Linked DNA regions of Astyanax mexicanus. The protein of the gene in region 2 interacts with the protein of the main gene of each other region in a pairwise test. Links are inferred from orthologs where the notes say so. Each region holds a gene or a part of one and is shown on either strand. Other genes may lie near its edges.

What was found. The genes of interacting proteins can lie anywhere in the genome.
Region 1: the proteins of protein BANP (region 2) and mrrf interact in binary tests that used the Homo sapiens proteins (3 or more experiments, as listed by UniProt). The two-hybrid records come from large-scale screens. The link is inferred for Astyanax mexicanus from reciprocal best matches to the Homo sapiens genes BANP and MRRF.

The regions. Positions count from the first base shown.
Region 1 is NC_064427.1:16,584,122-16,594,443, reverse strand, and holds the start of mrrf (ribosome-recycling factor, mitochondrial), read right to left. Parts: upstream 4,912-10,322; 5' UTR 4,815-4,911; intron 1-4,814. Other genes in the region: rbm18 (probable RNA-binding protein 18), read left to right, coding at 7,450-7,556. UniProt on the Homo sapiens protein: Responsible for the disassembly of ribosomes from messenger RNA at the termination of mitochondrial protein biosynthesis. Acts in collaboration with GFM2. Promotes mitochondrial ribosome recycling by dissolution of intersubunit contacts.
Region 2 is NC_064409.1:62,588,298-62,598,968, forward strand, and holds the start of protein BANP, read right to left. Parts: upstream 4,384-10,671; 5' UTR 4,176-4,383; intron 1,892-4,175; 5' UTR 1,886-1,891; coding exon 1,810-1,885; intron 1,400-1,809; coding exon 1,314-1,399; intron 1,156-1,313; coding exon 956-1,155; intron 770-955; coding exon 665-769; intron 1-664. Other genes in the region: pdcd2l (programmed cell death protein 2-like), read right to left, coding at 4,898-5,028, 5,271-5,428, 5,567-5,680, 6,855-7,292, 7,376-7,539, 10,671-10,671. UniProt on the Homo sapiens protein: Controls V(D)J recombination during T-cell development by repressing T-cell receptor (TCR) beta enhancer function. Binds to scaffold/matrix attachment region beta (S/MARbeta), an ATC-rich DNA sequence located upstream of the TCR beta enhancer.

The sequences.
Region 1 (10,322 bases), on a different chromosome or scaffold from region 2:
TGTGTGAGGTATCCCTCTAGTCAAAATAACCCTCCGCTTATTGTCTGAGAGTGACAGGCAGTGAGACGGGTCAGGCCCTCGTGTGTTTTCACAGTTGCCGTGCTCCGCCGTGTCAGTGACGGTCAGACGGCACGGGGGCTAAAAGCAGGCGCTGCCACTGCCGCCCCCAAAACAAGCGATTTTTATCAGGCCTGGATGACGGCGTGCGGCAGCTCGGATGAAAGCAGCAGCTGTTCTGGTTAAAAACAGATCAAACCTGAAAAGCTACTCTAACCATCAGAGCAGGACAAGAGGAGAAGACAGAGCAGGGGATGATGGCAGCTTTTAGAGCGCAGGTGAAGCGGAAAAACTGCTGCACAGGTGGTCTCAGACCTGACGGCCTGATTTCTCCAGCGCTCGACTGTGTGAGACGGGCTCATGAAAGAAGAGTTAGCAGGGACTGTAAAACATCACATTAGTATTAGTGGCTGTGAATAGGGATGGGTGATATTTGGCCATAAAATAGTATCACAATATTTCATAGTATTTTTGCAATAAAGATACTCTTGCCAATATGACAAAACACTGAATAAAAAAAAATTATAATAAAATCAAGAATACACTAATGCACTGCAAAAATGAAAATTCAATTTTATTTATTTCACACTCCTAACTGAGATGTTAAAAAATACAAGAATTTTATCAGATTTGTAACAGAAGTCAATGATCCAGAATGGACATATCACCAAAATACAACACAATATTTTATGGTATTTTCACAATAACGATACTCTTGCCGATATGGCAAAACACTGAATTAATAAAAAAAAAAAATCAAGAATACACTACTGTAACAAAGTAAATTATACTGGACAGATATAATCTGTCTCTGGTAGATATATAATGGGAAATGAGAACAGTGTATTTTTTTCTTTTGCTAAAAACTGTAAAAAAAAAAAAAAAAAAAAAAAAAAAAATTGTACCCTGACTTGATAATTAGGGGTGGGTGATATTTCAGGCTATAATATAGTTCACTATATTCAAAAATGATACTGAGACATTACGTGTAGCAGTAGTATGCCCACACTTTTCTTTAAATCACATCCAACTGAGATTAAGCATCTCCAGTCATGTGTAAAAATAGGACATTCCATGAAAATTGGGGTTTAAAACATGTTTAAACAATGACATTTGATCATTATGTGAACAATATTGAGAGATGGAGGTAATATACACTCCCCTCCAAAATATTGGAACAGTGAGGCCAATCTCTTTATTTCTGCTGTAGAGCTGAAAATATATTCATATTTAAAAAGATCAACTGATCAACATATTGTATAAACCAATTTCACTTTTCTCTTTTGTGATGATTTTTACATGCTTTCTTTGAACACACAATGTTTCTGTCATCAGCTGCTGTTTTTGGTCTACCTGTTTGACACCTTTTACGTAGTACACCAGTGACGACTTTCTTCTGGAGGTGGAGTATTCAACTAGAGTTTGTGTAAAATGTTTCACTACAAGCCAAGTCAATTTTACACCGTATTTCTCCATTAAGAATGGTTCTGTTCAATTTCAATTAATAGTAGGACTATGTAGAACTTATGACAATAGCATGAATCAAGTATAAAAATGTAGGAAAGCTCTTCTGAAGCTTGATCTTAAGTGTAAGCATGCACAACCCTGTAAATTCACAATAAACCAGAGACTGTAAAAAAAGATGGACGCCATGTCGCCGTTCCCATTCATTCAGTGAAAATGAAGCCAAAATCTTCTGCCATGTTGGCGATCCTGAAACCCGAGTCTGCGCAGTAGAGACCAGAGGAGGGAGAAAGACTGTAGAGATAGCCTACTCATTTAAATAACCCCGCCCCTGAGGGCTGCCTCGAGGTCACAGGCTGCAGAGTGTAGCGGAGTGGAGCTGACAGTCTGTTATTGGTCCCGCCCATAACCAGCCCTTTTACAATAACCACACCTTTTTTGAATAGAGCTGAATAACATTTTAAAAAACAAATTCTGTGGGTACAGTTGTGGTCAAAAGTTTACATACACTTGTAAAAAAACATAATGTTATGGCTGTCTTGAGTTTTCAATAAGTTCTACAACTCTTATTTTTCTGTGATAGAGTGATCGGAACACATACATGTTTGTCACAAAAAACAGTCATAAAATTTGGTTCTTTCATAAATTTATTATGGGTCTGCTGAAAATGTCACCAAATCTGCTGGGTCAAAAATATACATACAGCAACATTAGTATTTGGTTACATGTCCCTTGGCCATTTTCACGGCAACTAGGCGCTTTTGGTAGCCATCCACAAGCTCCTGGCAAGCTTCAGGTCGAATGTTTGACCACTCTTCTTGACAGAATTGGTGCAGTTCAGCTAAATGTGATGGTTTTCTTGCATGAACCCGTTTCTTTAGCACTGTCCACATGTTCTCAATGGGGTTTAAGTCAGGACTTTGGGAAGGCCATTCTAAAACCTTAATTCTAGCCTGGTTTAGCCATTCCTTTACCACTTTTGATGTGTGTTTTGGGTCATTGTCTTGTTGGAACACCCAACTGCGCCCAAGACCCAACCTTCGGGCTGATGGTTTTAAGTTTTCCTGCAGAATTTGGAGGTAATCCTCCTTCTTCATTATCCCATTTACTTTCTGCAAAGAACCAGTTCCACTGGCAGCAAAACATCCCCAGAGCATAATACTACCACCACCATGCTTGACAGTAGGCATGGTGTTCCTGGGATTAAAGGCCTCACCTTTTCTCCTCCAAACATATTGCTGGGTGTTGTGGCCAAACAGCTCAATTTTTGTTTCGTCTGACCAGAGAACTTTCCTCCAGAAGGTTTTATCTTTGTCCATGTGATCAGCAGCAAACTTCAGCCGAGTCTTAAGGTGCCTTTTCTGGAGCAAGGGCTTCTTTCTTGCACGGCAGCCTCTCAGTCCATGGCGATGTAAAACACGCTTGACTGTGGAGACTGACACCTGTGTTCCATCAGCTTCCAAATCCTTGCAGACCTGCTTCTTGGTGATTCTTGGTTGACTCTTGACCATCCTGACCAATCTCCTCTCGGCAGCATGTGATAGCTTGCGTTTTCTTCCTGATCGTGGCAGTGACACAACTGTTCCATGCACTTTATACTTGCGTATAATTGTCTGCACAGTTGCTCTTGGGACCTGTAGCTGCTTTGAAATGGCTCCAAGTGACTTCCCTGACTTGTTCAAGTCAATAATTCGCTTTTTCAGATCCACACTGAGTTCCTTTGACTTTCCCATTGTAGCTTTTGTAGCTGAGTCTAATCACTGGGTCAAATGAGCCCTATTTAAATGGGCTCATGAGAAGTCAACAGCTGTAGTCAATCAGAATCACTTACAAGAAGTGAAGAGGCCATGACATGAAGCTAATTTGATTGACACAACTCGCTACATCACCAAAATTGACAAATTTTGTTGCTGTATGTATATTTTTGACCCAGCAGATTTGGTGACATTTTCAGCAGACCCATAATAAATTTATGAAAGAACCAAATTTCATGACTGTTTTTTGTGACAAACATGTATGTGTTCCGATCACTCTATCACAGAAAAATAAGAGTTGTAGAACTTATTGAAAACTCAAGACAGCCATAACATTATGTTTTTTTACAAGTGTATGTAAACTTTTGACCACAACTGTATATACCATTTTCATAATATAAGCAGAGGTTACACTAGCTGTTGCATTGAAATAAAGGAGGTAGAGTTACAGTATATTAGAAAAAAACGTGATTGAAAGTTGTCTGTTTTGCAATTAAAACCTATAGGGATGGGTGGGGTTACGCAGCTTTCTGAAACCAAACAGCAGGGGGCGCCTGACCTGTGGTGGCTTTACTTTAGAGAGAGGATGCTCTGTCCAGCTATACACAGTCTATGCAATAAACACATAGACAGTGCCAATACTCACTTTAAACCCAATATCAGCTTATACAGCTGATTAAGGAGCAAGAAAGGTGACATCATGTTAAAAAAATAATGCATGGCCACTTCTGAAGGCATGGAAATGAGGTCCTAAGGCACGGAAACAAGATATTTTACGTTAATGCGTCAAAAGCAGATAATTAAGGCATAGGAATGAGTTAATTAAATTGTAGTCATTAAGGTGTGACCACAAGTTCCTTTTGTTCCACAGCTAACAAAGCGAGCAGCTCTCAGGGTTTGAGCCAATCAGCTTTTAGTATGAGAATTAAGTGTCTTTTACTTAGAATTATACCCCGTCTCACTGCAGGATACTCCAAAATATCACCATAATTCATTCAGAGACAAAAATAAAAATAAACCAGTTTACTCTGTTTTCTTACTAAATAATATTCTAGGATAAAAGGAGCTTTGATGTTATATTCAGTTTCTTTATGCTGATTAATTTAAAGAAATGCAAGCTTTATTATTCTCTGGCTATGACTTGATTATCCCGCTCCCACGTCTTGGTCTTCGTTATTTCATTCCCATGCATTAGGATCTCGTTCCCACATCTTAATAAGTTACAACTTCATCGTCTCATTCACATACATGCCTTAATTATCTCATTCCCATGCATTAGGATCATGTTTTTCACACCTTTGTGGCCACCCATTATTGTTTTCAAACATTGTGTCCCCTTAGAGGCTCCGTAGATAGCAGCATGCATCTGTGTGAATGTTGACAGCTCTAGGTTAGCTAGGTAGCTAACTAGCTCAGCTAACAAGCCCTATACTGCAGGTTAAACAGCGCACTGAAGCAGTGACCGCTATAATAATAAAGAGCTGTTTTTAGAGAAGCTCTGTAAGAGAAATAGAGCAGAATAGAGCTGTGAGTACTTACTGAACTCTCTCACAGCGCAGGTTTATCTCAGCATGCACTTTAATTCAGCACACGGGTCTACTGAAGGACACCGCGTGCAGAACGTCACCGGTTACTGGGCGCTTCGTCACCGCGCTGCGCATCAAACGTCACCGCTTTGTGTGTTCCTTTAAGAGCCGCTAGCTAGCGCTAAAGCTAATCGAGCTAACCGACTGATACAGCAGCGAGTCCGCGGGCGGATAAACCTCAGATTCAGCGGGGAAACAGCGGCATGGGGCGGGATTAACACACCAAGACTCCGCTGCGGTTTATAGGAAGGTTTTAAAGCGGCTGAAAGCGAGTTTACGGTGAGTATAAAAACAGAAATGCGGTAATAACATCAACCAGCACACAGCGGGAAGCTAAGCTAACCGGCTAACTATCCCTGTAAACAGCTAATGCTAGCTAACTACATTATACATCATATGGGTTAATATCTATCTATCTATCTGTCTGTCTGTCTGTCTGTCTGTCTGTCTGTCTGTCTGTCTGTCTGTCTGTCTGTCTATGATGTGAGTTAATTCGCTATGATGTTAGTTAATTCACTTTACTAGTTTATCCTTTCTCGCTATACCTATGTTATTTCTTTATCTATTTGTCTATCTGTCTGTCTGCATCGTTCATGATAAGTTAATTACTAGTTAATTATTTTTCTATCACTCTTTCACCTTTTCTGTCTGTCTGTCTGTCTGACTGGTTGTCTGTCATTGTTCTGTGTTAATGTTGTTCATAACAAGAATTTGTACTGTTTGGACAGTTCATTTGACCATTTCATTTATTAATAGTCCTAAACCCATCCTTTAATGATACTGGAACAATTTCCCTTGCACATATTTGGATAGCCTATGCGTGTATAGCCTATGATATATAATGTGTTATATATGTGTTATATATATAATGGGTTACTATTCTATATATTGTCAATATTTGCAATATATTGCAATACTGAAAGCAAAATAATATATCAGTTGTTAGAATTGAATAATAAAAAAAAAACCTTTAATAGGATAAAAACACCCTCATATTTCTAAAATATGAACGACAGAAAATTGTACTTTTTATTGTATCAGAAAAGTGTCATGACAACAGAAAACACCACCTCTTTCTAGTGGGCAAATAAACCACTGTGTCACATCAACCTTTACGTATAAACTAATAATTAAAAATCAGTACAATGGATTGTGTTTTGGAAATCAATACAGTATTGCAAAACAAAATATTGAGATGTGATACAATATTGATACTGATATTCTTATATACCTATATAGTTGGTTGCAGGGTAAAATCTTGTTAAGGCAGATTTCAACCCTGGTCATAGAGTAGTTCCATTACACATGTTTGCATTAAAGCCTGTCAATTCAGTGCCGTTCTTTGTAGAGAAGAAAGGGTATTCTGTGTCTAATAATGTGTTAAAGTTGGCATGTGGTTCATGGCATAGTGATTGAATAGACTACAAAACTATTTCAGTTATTACTGGTTCTAAACCCATCCTTTAGGATACAGAGTTCTAGCCATGATCCCAGAGTACTCCAGTTACACACATGTTTTTAAAAAAGTCTCAATTCAGTGGTTTGTGTTTGGAGAATAAAAGGGTTTTCTAAGTCTAACACAATATTAAAGCTGGCATGCAGTTCATGGCACAGACCAGTGGACCATTTCTGTTGTCTTTCAAATTCATCTTTTAGGTTGCAGATTTTAACCTTGGTCATTAAACTCTTGAGCTTAGACTCTGTGCCCCATTTTAATGCTATTTTATTGTATGTAAAGCTCTGGTGTAATAATCACAATATAGCAAAGTAACAAATCAAACTGTGTTTCAAATAAAAAAAATAAATAAAAAAGTTAGAATGTTGTAATTACACAGCTCTGGAACTGGAACACTTCAGCTTCTCTTCTTGTCTGCGCATATCTTCATTGTTGTTTTATGTGTTTTGCATGTAGACTATATGCATAAAATAAAATAAAAATGTTCAGAAAGTTTTATATTCTTAATCATTGTAAATTATATTAGAGTAGACAAAAGTCATTGCGAATTATGTTATTGTTCTGGGTCTATTTAGGTTTATTGAGTGTGCCTTGTTTTTTTTTTTGCACTAATGCTATATTTTTAACTTAAAAAAAGTGGTTTGTTCAGAAAGTGTTTTATATTCTTAGAAATTGTTAATTATATTAGAGTAGACGGGAGGTTCTTAATCAACATTGTTCTTAAATAAAAGGCCTATGCTTCTTCAGTGGTGCAATATTAATTAACATAATTCTGAACATATTCAGAACATTATTTAAACTGTCAGAAAATGTTTTTAAGAAGCTCAGTCTTAAAGCTCTACTTACATGTATTGTATAAATCGAATTTGGGCTCACAAAAACAGTTTTGTGGGTCGGGTTGGGTTTGGGCAGGACGTTAACAGGCTCGGGTCATGTCGGGCTGGATTTTTTGTGCGTGATCTAAGCTCTACTAATTTCTCTGTGCCCTCCACATTTGTGTGTTTTCTTGTTGTAATACAGCTGTTTTACCTTAGGAAAGACTTGATTATTAACGCAGTTGTTGGATCAGGTGTGCTAGGAGGACTAGATAACCAATTGTCTGTATTTCTTCTTGGCTTAATCCAGGAACCCGATGCAGTCAGCTGCAGAGACAGTGGAGAATGCCTCCATCCTTTCGAGCGGCTCCTCGCAGGAAGGCCATCGCCTGTGGATCGGCAATATCGACCCCAAAATCACAGAGTGAGTACCTCTACATCAACAGGGTTTACCAGTTATCCACATTTATTGGGTTGTTATTAAGATTAAGTGTAATTTACTGCCAATTCACAGCAGTAAGCTGGGCGAACTTCACGACCGAAGACACTACGTGACCACGCCTGTGATTGGTCGTTGCAGTTGTGTTTATTTTTTTATAGCTATATATATATATATATATATATGAATATGAATATATATATATATATATATATATATATATATATATATATATATATATATATATATATATATTCAGTTCTGGTGGAAACAGGAGAGTTGAGGTGCACATTGAATTCTGCCGTGATTTGGGCAGCCGTGGTTTTATTTTTTTTGGATACAATCTAGGTTAGCACCCGAACATCCCTTTCAGACAGCTTCCTCTTGCATCCACAGTTAATCCTGTTGGATGTGGTTGGTCCTTCTTGGTGGTATGCTGACATTACCCTGGATACCGTGGCTCTTGATACATCACAAAGACTATTATTTATATATATATATATATATATATATATATATATATATATATATATATATATATATATATATATATAATATAAAATACTAATACTAATATTATTAGTATTATTATTATTATTATTATTATTTTATTTTTATTTTTTTAAGCTGGGTTCTGGAGAAGAAACAGACCTCTCCACTCTTCTATGTTTGGTCAAATCTGGTGAAACTCATTTAGAAGCTTTTGATCATTAATCAATGAATGGTTGAATAATTTATAGCATATTAAAAGATGTTTAACAGGTTATAGAGAGAGTTTAGATGTGTTCAACAGTTGCAAACACTTATAATAATAAATAGTAGGGCTGCAGCTATCGGTTATTTTAGCAATCGAGTACTCTACTGAAAAATTGATTCGATTAATCGAGTAATCAGACAAAACATAAAATAAGAGATTTCATAAAATAAGAAATTTCCCTTAATAATGAATGACCAGTTGGTTTAATTTTTTAATTCACAACATACATTTCCACATTGCCACATTGCAAAGACAAATAGAAATAAGTAAAACACAAAATAGACATAAATACATGCGTTTTAAGATTGATTAAACAATTACTTGAGGCACAAAAAATTAATCTATCAATTTTTTTTAATCGAGTAACTCGAATTAATCGTTTCACCCCTAATAAATAATATGTCAATGTCTTGGTACTGTATTGAAATGGCTATGCACTTACTAGCCCAAGGGGGAGGCCCTAGACCGGGCAGTTGGCCGTGAGCCCTGGCTGCCCGGGTGATTGATTAGCTGAGTGTGCGCGTGTTGCGTTGGAGAATGAGCAGACGACGGCGGGGCGTGTGAAAGAGGACCATTCGTGCATGGAGACCTGCTCTGCTCAGGGGCTCCCATCGTTTCCTAGTCACCTGGCATGTTTACACTGTCAACCTGTGGCCACTGCGTAAGGTGGAGGGGTGGAGAGGAGGACACCGTAAGAACGATGGAAGGAGGGATGGAGGGAGTAATGGAAGGAGGAAGAGAAAGTCAGGGAGAGCCGCAGGTTGAGAGGGGGGCTGCTGGAAAATGTACGGCTGGCCTGGACCGGCGTCTAGACAGCCGTTTCCTTCCCACTCGATCCGCTGTTTTTCTTTAAATAACCTGCGCGAATGAAAACAGCCGCGATGCCCACGGGCTGGTGTTTGGGAAGATTAATTAGTTCACATGCTGGACGTGTTTGTTGTTGCGAAATCTCCCTCAGAGTCGTACGGGTGCGCAGGGCGAGTGGTGAAAATCCTGCTGTGTGAGGTCACCGCTCACCTAGTGTGGTTTTGCTTTCCCTGAGGTTTCCAAGTAAGTGGATAATTGAGAGCACTATTGGAGTTTTGTGGTAAAAAAGAGGATTTGTAATTTCTGGGCTGTAGCTTACGCAGGCGTCATGGCATCAGGGTGATGGATGGGGCCATGAAGAAGATGAGGTGGAAGGTGAAAGTCAATTGGTCCCTGGAACACAACACATTTTTTACACGAGTGTTTCTGGCTTTAGTATGCTATATAGAGAACAGTGGTGTGCCGTATCGTATCATACCAGTGTTCATTTTGACAACAAATTTTGATTTAGTTTTAGTCATAGTCTTGTGAAGAAAATAGCATTTAGTTTTAGTCATAATTTAGTCATCTGAAATGTTTTTAGTTTTAGTCGACTAAATATCATAAGAATGTATTCAACTAAAACTTAGTTGAATAAAATGTAAAGGGTGTAAAAATGTAAATGCTTTTTCATCAGTTCCCTTGAATGATTAACTACACACTTATACAAAATGAAACATTTATTAACCCCTTGTGTAATATTAATGTTTGAATGTGAAATATATTTATATATGATTTAATGTATATTATTGTTGTAGGTATGTGACTATAAATAAAATAAATTCTTATATTAATGAGTGAGTGAATCTGTATCAGAAACGTTAACGTTACGGAACAGCAGTGGTGTGTTTCAGTGCACAGTCGAGTTAAACACACCATTGGCTCATGAAATATCATTAGCATTTAAACGCTGATCTCTGCAAGGAGATCTGTGGGTTTCTTGTTTGTAGAAGCTGAAAGATTTGTGCTGTTTTTACCGGAGATGGAGATTACCAGAGATTTTCGTGACGTCAAAGGAGAGAGATATAGGCCGTTTCTCAATCTGCATTCTTGTCTGTACTTGTGTTGTTGTGGACTCGGGGAAACGTCATCAGTTGCAGCCCAAGTACTGTTCCAATTCAGAAGATCACAGTTAGCCAAGTACACAA
Region 2 (10,671 bases):
GTATTTATATTTACTGTTAAAGTCTAAAACCATTCTCAGAAAAGCTTACTAGATATTAAAGGTGCCTAAGAATGCATTTACTGAATATTAATACTATTACATAGAATAAATTTCATTCTTTGATGTTTAAATAGAAATCATGTCACTAAAGACAAAAACGTATAGATGTGGTTTACAAGCCCATTTAAAACCCTGTCATTTTGTCTCAGAATGAAATGTCTGTTTCTCTTTTTTTGGAAAGCTCATGAAAAAATTGATTAAATTCTCTTTTACTGGATGGTTTACATTAGGGGCTCCCAACGTTTTGCAATTCGTGGCTCACTTAACCCACCACAAAACGTTCCATGGCCCTCAAGAAAATATATTATGCCATTTTAAATCTAAACAAACCAAATGTACTGTAGCCCAGTCAAATTGACTGGTGGGTTTTTTTTTGATGGGTAAAACTCCTACAGTATGGTAAATATGTTTAATCCAGGACTGTTACCTAACAATCATGAGTTAGTTTGAACTGGCCTGTTTCACAGCTCTGTGTAACTGGCGTGGGTTGTAAACTTTTAAAACAGAAGGGCACCTTTAATAAACAAATCACTAATAGATTTATTGGTGAATATTTACATTCGACTGAAACTATTTAAAGAACTGAAAGATGTTTGAGACCTACTTGCTGAGTAAGTTCTCCAGAGAGTCTGTTGTGCGTGGGAGTGCCTCCTCCTGGCTTGCTTTAGCACGCTCACCACTCACTACCACATTGGTCTGGGGCACCATACTGAGAACACGCAACAATATGGAACAAGTAAATGAGAAAGTGATAATTAGTCCCAGCTCAACATGAAACTGAGTGAGTCAGTTGGTAAATGTGAACCTTTTTGACTCAGAAAACATTAATGGCAAGGAAAACCATGAGAAACTTGTTTTTCATTTTGCTGGTGAACCAAGTCCACTACAAACTCACCAGCGAACCTTGTCACAGGTTTGTGTTGCACCAAAAGGAGATCCAGCCACCATGGGGACACGGATAGGTCCCTGGTTTTTGCCCATTACTGTGTCAAGCTTCTCTTCTAGGGCCCGACATGTAGCCTCCAGCACCTGGAGCTTGGTCTCCATGCTATCCAGCCTTTGGCAGATGGCCTGACTAATAGACACGAGCATTGTCTAAAGAGAGGCAATGACAGACAGAAAATTATGTAAATCAATTACCAAACAAATCTAAACATGACATTACCTTCTTGTTTAAGTTTTCATTCATCAATTAATCACAGAACACAGTAATGGTGTAGTAATAAGCAGTGAAACTCAAGTGCTGTTCTCACCTTTAGAGTTGCATCTTGATTACTACTTTCCATCCTCGCTCGTTTTCGCTCAGGTTTGTCAGCCTCTTCATGGTTTTCCAACACATCTAATCCAATACACATACAGCAATGTTAAACAACACATAGTAAACAGCTGCCACAGTGTTGAAAAACTATAAAACACAGAATACTAAAAAATACTAAAGTTTAGGGCATTTGCTATTATGTCAAAAAGTAAGTATATATACAGTACATGCACTAGGAGAAGGGAAAATTCATAAGAGCAGTGAGGGAGGTTTTTAGTGGCTAAATATAGAGGCACCAGGCCTTATAAACAGGCCTCATAAAACTTTTTTAAAGAAAAGGGCAAAGGAGAATATGGCTGCAGGGTCAAAGGAAAATAAACAGCCTAAAAACAAAGTTTAAAGACACATGTATTAAGGACTTGTAAACCGATGTAATCCTACAGACTATCTTGAACATTTAAATACCAGAGGCAGTTAAACAATTCTCTTACCTGCATCATGTTCCTCATGATTTAGATCTGCCACAGCAATCTGGACTATCTCCACCAGATCCTGCTCGGACATCATTCACACCTAAAAAAGCAAAGAAATTTGGTTTGTGTGACTATTTACAGTTAAGGAACAACTGATGAACTGTCTGGTGTTTGCTTTTATAAACTCATTTGAAGCACATACATGTTTTACATGCAGCAACACACCATTGGTCAGATTGTTAATACACAATCTGAATTGAAATGTTACATTTAGGCTACTTAAAGATGTCAAACATATTTATTTCAAATCAGTAAAACATGCCACAATATTTCCACTGCACAATACAAAAGTAAGAAATAAAACCCCTAAAATACATATATTTCACATTTATTTTATCTGGCTTCTAACAAAATTAGAATTGTATTTAAATGTTTGGTTTTCATTTGTTTTTCTTATTACCTCTGAACAAAATATGACGTTTGTTATGTTCCAGGAAAAAATATAGTGTAATCTTTGCATATTGTGACACCTTCTCTTGACAACAGCACTTCCTCACATATATGGGGCAAAGTTTCTAATATATTAGCCTTCTTTAATTTGGTGGTTTTCCTTTTTTAAAGACGCTTACTACTCAAGAGGTTAGTTACCCATCCCTGTATTTCTGTGTAGTTTAGCTCACTGTGGAGAGCTAGTTTTGCTTTCTGAGGTTTGTTAATTGGGATAAACCTTAAAATATTTTTTTCAGTGGTATTATCTATTTTTACTCTTTAAGTTTTATATTTTATTTATTTAACTTTAGCTATCTTTTCTTACCAATGTTGCCAGCTTTAAATGAAACTTTATAATTCAACAAATCCATTTTTTACCCTCTTTGTTAAGTGCCCTGAACCACAGTGCTTTGGTGGGGAAAGGACAATGTAACTGGCTGCAAATGACTGTTAAATGCAACAGTCCTTGTGAGAATTCTCTGACCTTCGCATAGGTTCAAATAAAATTGTAAAAGTGATGCAAGCTTTTTTGTAGTTATAAATCTTTTGAAATGCAAAGCAAATATTTTGCGAATGTGAATCTTTTTTTAATCTTTTTGCATCTTCATAAACAGCAGTCCAAATCTGTTTTTAAAAAATATCGTAACAATTTTGAAAGGGGATTCTACACCCTTTTATTAATAAAACTGATTTGTTGAATAAGGTTTACTAGGAGAGGGGGGCAGGGGGTGCTCCAGGGCTGAGATGCACCAATTTTGCTTAAGTTCCTATCTAAGTTTCTGTTTGAAGTGCTTTTACAATGTCTTTAGTTATTTTGTGAATGTGAATAACGTTAGATTTATATGGATTTTTTTTGTTTCTACATAAGCATGCTTTATGAAATTCGTATTAGGTCACATGATTCACACCAGAATCAGATAACGTGTATGTAGAAAAAAAACTTTTATTTGAGTAGAAAATCATTAAAACTAAATAATAAAATGTGAATTAATAGCAATACAGTTAATTAGCAAGATTAGCTAGCTGTGGACTGATGAATGGGCAGAGGAGGATAGACTATGGGAAAGATGGGTGTGAAGAAGGTGTGGATTACAATCAGCTGATACAAACACTAGTTTATTAATTACCTCCATTTTATTAAATCGTTACTTATTGTTTACTTATGTTAAATGCAAATGCTGTTATGGCAGAATTAAGCATTTCGTCTATATAAGTTACAGTTAACCAAGAAGGTCACACACCAACGTTAGCTAGGCAAATGATAGCTTAACATTTGTGGTGGTTTAACAAATAAAAATCCAAAAAATAAAAATCCTGTCCATGACTTCGCTCCAGCTGCTTAGACAACTCTAAAAAAATAATAAAATCCCGGGCTGGATTTTTACTTCCTGGACCTGGATTTCTCCCTATGCTAAACTAAATGCTAAGCTAACTAACTAGCTAGCCAGTTAGCCACGGTCATTCAGTACAAATTGTTCTGTTGTAAGTATTTAATTTGGTCAGCGACAGCAGCGTATTTTAACCCATAAAAGCCGTGTTTATGCTCTAAAATTGGTTAGTTAGTTAAGTAGGTTAGTCCCCGCCGGTAGCTACAGTTACTAGGTCTGGGGCTACACTCCGCTCTCTGCCCGCGAAGATAAACACAGCTAACGTTAGGTAGCTTTAGCCAGCTCCTGCTAACTTGCTCCAATGTTCAACAATATTGAAAGACTCAGAGAGAGGAAACGGCTCCAGGCCCGGAGCCGCAGTCCTACTAGCCCTCTCTGCTGAAACATGAATGAGGCGCGAAAGAAAACAATAAAAAATGAAAATGAAAAACGCGTGAATTAAGCGCCCGGCGCCGCCTTGCCCGCAGCACTGTGCGCGCGGCGGGGCTTCAGAGCGGGTTATATTACCGTGAGAAGGATGAATTCTCGTGTTGTTTGTAGGGATTCCGATAATGGCGTCCTTCCTCGCGAGAGATGAAGTCTGCTCATGAACTCGGGTCTCGTCTCTGAGCTCAACTGCGCTCCCGTGAAGAACCAGGAGGAGCCGGGCACTGCAGCACCGCATGCAGGCCTCATAACTACCCCCCTCCATACAGGGCCAATTTCTCACACAGGCCAGGGACAAAGGTGTCGAAATTATTCACATTCAATACTTCGATATATGCGTGGAATGTATGGCTGATATAAAACAAAACGTTTTTAACTCACTTCCGCAGCTAGAAATAGAGAAAATTATCTCCTCATCAAGCAGCACAACCTGCACACTCGAAACAGTTCCCACAAAATTACTAAAACCCGTACTACCAGACATAATTAAACCGCTGTTAATGATAATAAATTCATTGCTTACCCTGGAGCATGTACCCAAAACAAGAAAATCGAGGAATCTGTAAAAAATGTAAAAGCCTCTTGACTTAACATCTGCCCACAGTCCAATCACTGCTTATCCCATGGATTTTGTCAAAACAATTCAGAAATATGTCCTCATCAAAAGAGTAAGTCAAATAGCCTGAATAAAGCAGTGTTGGTTGACTTCCGCATGATACTGCATGCATACTAAATCCTACATTAAGTTATAATAAAAAAAAAAGAAATATGATATTTTGGTATGCTCTTTATTATACATCATGTCATTTGAACAGCTTTTGATCAGGGTCAGCTTGTACTAAAAGGAATTCCTCAACAGGTGTGTTCGATCCAGAAGTCCAGCAGCTCTCTCTGCAGGTGTAGACCATCACTGTCCCAAACTCCAAAACGAGCTCTGAAGAAGTACAAAGGAGGAAAACACCAGAATCAATACAGAAATTAATAATTTATGATTTGTATTATCGCAGTGTCTAAAGGCCACAAAAAATTATATAAACTATACACATATCATCTACTTCTGTTTTAAAGAAAACAAGTAAATGTAGCAAAGCTCTCATAATTTTTGACACAGGATACAACCAGCATGGTCTCTGTATTTAACATATACTGAAAAAACAAGAGCTAAGTCAGACAAACCTGAACTTAAATCTGTACTACGAAGCAAACTGACGAGTGCAGGCATGAGCTGAAATTCAAAAACTCTAGGACTGCCACACTGTGCACAGGGTGGCTCCATCTGATGAATATTTGAAGGACGTTCACATATAAACAAAGGTGAGCCTCTCCAACTGTATCTGCAACATATTATAACAGAGCATATATTAATAAAACATCAAAGTATTTACATTAAAATCAGCTCATACAGATATAAATCTTGTAGTTAGTTATTGTTTACTAGGGACTTGCTACTGTTTCCTTTGCAATCCACTCACCGAAGAACTTGTTCTGGACAGAGAGATATTCTTTTCATGAAATTGGAGAAGAAGGCATCTCCGTGTTTGGGTTCTGCCTTCTCATACTTCTCCCCTCTTCCTTCTCCTTCACAACTGAATAAAAATTCAAAATACGAGGAAAATTTATTTCAAGAGAAAAAAATATATATTTGAATATTTATTATTTGAAAAAATGTAAAGAATTGAAAGTATAACACAAAAGCAGAATCTGACAATAAAACTGAAATACTTTGTGCTTAATTATTTATTATTTTAAAGCAACCAATTTAACATGCACTATTGTCCTGTCCTGTGTTTTTTTTTAAGGATAATGTATTTACACACAAAGTATCATGTCATAGATTTCCTTCACATTAACCTAGTAAAATGTAAAAATGCATTCAGGTAAAGATCCATCATTGATCCTCAGTTAAGAATGCAAGTGTTAACGCAACTAAGACACATTTAAAAGAGGTTCAAATTCGATTGCGCAAACCCTTCTGGAGGTGATAAATAAATCCTTTTCTCCAAGACACAACCAAAACAAAAACAAAACTCCCCATGCAGTACGTTATTGTTGAGTTAATCAGCCGAAACTGGTGCCTTCTCCAAGTTCGGATTAATGCAAAAATGCACAAAAAAGCGAAAAACTATTAGTGGTACATTTTAGGCTAGCAACCGTCTTTAGCATAGCACAGAAAGAGGCTGAAGCAATGTTACTATGTAATGAGTGGTTTTTCATATTCTATCCCACACAGCAATCAAATTTCAGTCTGACTATCCATTGCTAGTAGTTTATACATAAAGTATGATATATATTCATTTGTACCATTCACTTTGTTTACATGACAGTTGTAATTCATCTGTTAAATTAAATACAATTAAATAGCTACACTTTACTGTGCCGCAGCCTGCTTGACTTGTGATTTAGCTCCATCTGTTTGAAATTATATCTACACTTGAATTGGCAAAAGTCAGCCGCGGCGGTAACTTTAAAACATATGTTTGTTTGTTTTGTTTTTTTAACAACAGAACATTTCTAATTAGCTCCTCATTTTGGTTTCATTGGCAAGGATCACGCTACAGGTGAATTGTGAACAGGCGGGGCAAAAACAACCAGTCAGCACTGCTGTGTTTATTTATAAATTAGCATGCACTTCTGAAATCACTAGAATTCATTATAGTTTAAAACTGTCAACTTTTAAAATGTAGTGGAAATAAGATCAAATTAGTTGTTTTTCAGGGGTGCCTTGTTAGCTTTCGCAAGCCATTCAAAAAATGTCCTCACCTTTCAAGCTCTCCAACAGCAACTCCCTCCCTCTCCTGATATTCCTTCAAAAGTTTGTTAGCATGTTCCACATTGTTCTGGCCCACTAAGTCTGTCTCCTCCGCCACACTGATGTAAAATGACTGAAAAGTGGGTACTGCAGTAGGAGCTACGGCACATTCCCTGTCCCCTGATCCATTTAAACAGAGGCCCTCAAGTCCAATACTGTCGACTGGTCCAGCTGTTTGTGTGTCCGGCTGTCTCTCTGTCACTGTCTGAGCTGTGTCTAGATTAGTGTGTGGACAGATCTCAGCTTCACTGTCCTCAGCTTCCATCCCCCAGTCATCGGCCTCATCACACCAGTCTGTTGCGAACACCGGGGCTTGTTTCACCTGCTGATTATCTTTATTGATGTCCTTCATTTCAGACTCCAAGCACTGCGAACGCAGAACTTTCCAGCTAGACACAAGAAGAAGCCACCAGAATAAATATTGGGCAACAGCGTAAACTGTGTCTTAATTAATATGAAAATGATAATTTACCTTTCTGGCTTGCCATAACACTGTGGATTAGTGCAAGCAAACACATTAATGGTGCGGTGATATGGAGACGCAGCAAGAGGGCAGTAGATCTGCACGACATGAGTGAGGATCCCATCACACAGAGCACACCGGTAATATGTAGCAGAAATACCAGGAATCAGGTCCTGTAATAAACATACATCACATGCAAGATAATCAATGTAAACCTATATTGTCAGTGCTACTTTTAATACCCTGATTTTGTACTGAAACTCTCTATATATATATAATATATTGGGGAGAATCTCTGTCATGGAAAATAAAATGCCAAACTGCCATCTTTTTTTAAATGCATTCTGTGGTGAAGACTGCCGAGAAGATCATCAGGACTCCACTGCCCTCCTTGCAGAGCATCTACCACCACAGAGTCCACAGGAGAGCTGCATCCATCCTCAAAGACTCCACCCATCCCCAGCATGGACTGTTCACACTTCTGCCCTCAGGCCGGAGGTACAGAAGTGTAAAATGCAAGACCACCAGGTTAAAGAACAGTTTCTTCCCCACGGCCATCAGACTCTTGAACACACCTAAGGAATGACCCTGCCTTCAGACTCTAAACACACCTCAGGTATAACCCTGCGATCAGACTCTTGAACACAACTCAGGAATAACCCTTCACTTTACTTCAACATGTTTACATTGCAGCCGTCACTTTACTGTTAATCTTTTTTTAATATATATAGTTAATGTCCATAACTGCATTATTTCGCACTTGCACTTTTTTTTATACATTTCTTTGCTTAAGTAACTTTTATTTTTTTATGTCTTTGACAATTAGTTTAATATTTATAACCTTATTGTATTTTTTTGCACTTTTTCTATCTTCTATTTGGCATTCTTGGCGAAGAGCAAAGAAAGAATTTCATTGTACACTGAAACCCGTTTCTGTACTGTACATATGACAATAAACTCTTTGAATCTTGAATCTCTTGAATCTTGAATACTATTTACTTCAAGCTGTACCCATTGGGGTGCTTGTCTAGTCTCTTTAAATAAGTACTGCCAACAGAATAGGACTTTTTGGAGACATGTATTGTTATAAAAGTGTAAAAGTCCTCCAGTATTGTTTAATACTTTTAGGATGAGTTGAAAAGTTGGGGATGAAGTCAGATAGGGTGGTAATCATCCAACATCCTGCATACTGACCATTCTGACACATAATGTAATCAAATTCTCACTGCAGTGTTCCAAAATAAGTGTAATCCTAATCATAGTGAAATGACTTGTCTGAATAGCAGTCAGTTTCTTAAACAGAATTAGCATAAACTAATTTTAATATCTTTGATTTCAAAAGTAACAAGGATTAAGCAATTGTACCAATTTGTTGTTTATATGGTGTATGTCCTGCTATTTACCTGAACCTGTAAACTAATGCTACTGCATGCTATCCAGTTAGGTTAGTATAGCTGCATGTGTGCTTGTTTGACTATTAAAACATATTAACTGTACACAAAGGTTAAACATCACTAGCAAAGATATTTAAATGTTATAAAATATCTGAAAAATACTTAAATACGAACCGAAACTGTGTTAACACTAATGATTTGCAGACCGATACTGAAATATCGATACCTCCGATACCAGATCAAAATAAATTAAAAAAACTACACGTTTGATACTTCAGTCATTTGAGGTAATGTATACCATTGACAGTAACACAGTGGATATCAACTAAACTACTAAGATCCTGTCTAAACTACTTTTTCATTCACTTGAGTAAATGAGTAATGCGTTCCGTGAAAAAGGATTCGCCTCCACAAAGATTTCTTTCATTTTTGCTTTTTTTTTGTCATATTCATTTTCAGATTACCAAACAAACTTTAATATCAAACAAAAATAACCTTTGTAAATAAAAAAGCAGTTTTTTTGTGTAGAAGTTTTTTTTCTCTTACTGTCTTACTGTCGCTCCTTTACGACACTGCGCATGCGCCAACAAACATTTTTTTATATATATTTCCACGTTTTTCATGATAATTCCTAACATTTTTATTGGGAGCATTAAACAACCTGCTAGCATAATAAAAACACTGTAAATAGTCGTTAATAATAATAATAAACTATAAAACAATAAAATGAAAAATGCACGTTTCTCATCACGTAACGTTATGACCTTAACTTTTTAAACTTTACTTTGTACAGCGATTTAGCCAATCTACATAGCCTATCTAGAATTTGTCTGAGAGTATTTTCTAATACGGTTTCTAATATGGTGCTTTTTTGTATTTTTAACATTTTAAAAATGAAATACTACTAGGATAGCAATGTTTGGCAAGGCAGCACAACTCGACAGAACACCGGTGTTCTGTCGAATTCTGCTACCTTGTCGAACCGTGCTGCCCAAATGTATATTTAACTGTAAAAATACAAAAGAAGCACTATTTTAGGGCATGTACCCAGTGATATTCCAGTAGATGTACGTTATTAGATTTGGATTGCATAATTCATTGTACCATGGCAAAGCTATAGTAAATATAGCTCATTACAAACTGCTTTTGTATTTATTTATGATAATAAGTGTAATTTTTAGTTTCCATTTACACTTTTGTGCAATGATAGTGCGTCCAGGTCGTTTAATGCATATAAACCCCCCTAAACCCGAGTAATTATACATAAAACTCGAGAAATAATTAAATTGTGTAGGTCGGCGCATGCGCAGTACCTTTGGGAAGCATGTATCGATGGGTAGGAAAATTCGACAGAACACCGGCTAATGGAGCTGTCACTGCGTCTGTCAGGTCCTCACAAAACCTGCTAGCAAGCTATGTTAGCTAACCTAACGTTAGTTTAGTTAACTTAGCTCGTCTTAGCGTGACCAGAAAACTTTTAATGGCCGAATGGCTCATTTAAATTGACTGGAACGCTCAAAAATCAGAATTAATAAGCTGGCTAGTTAGCTGTCTCTCTCTGACTGGGGTCTGAACATTTGTTCCCTATTAAAAAACAAGCCCTTTAGCTTGTTGGCTTGGATAACCAAGCTAACGTTAGCTCTCTAGACTGCTTACCTAGCCTAGTTAGCTAGCAAACGAACTAGCTAATTTAGATTCTTATTAACCGGCCTAACTCAACAACCTGTTACTAACTAATTCTGCCGGTCTTATTTCTGAATTTAGTCAAAGTTGTCACCACTAAGTTAAAGGGAACCGCACTGCTAGCTAGCATTTAACTCCAGTCTCGAGGAGCATGTAGGAAGGTTAACGTAGCAGTTTAAAGCACTCCTACCAGGACAGCTACATATCAGTAAATATCTGCCTCTTACC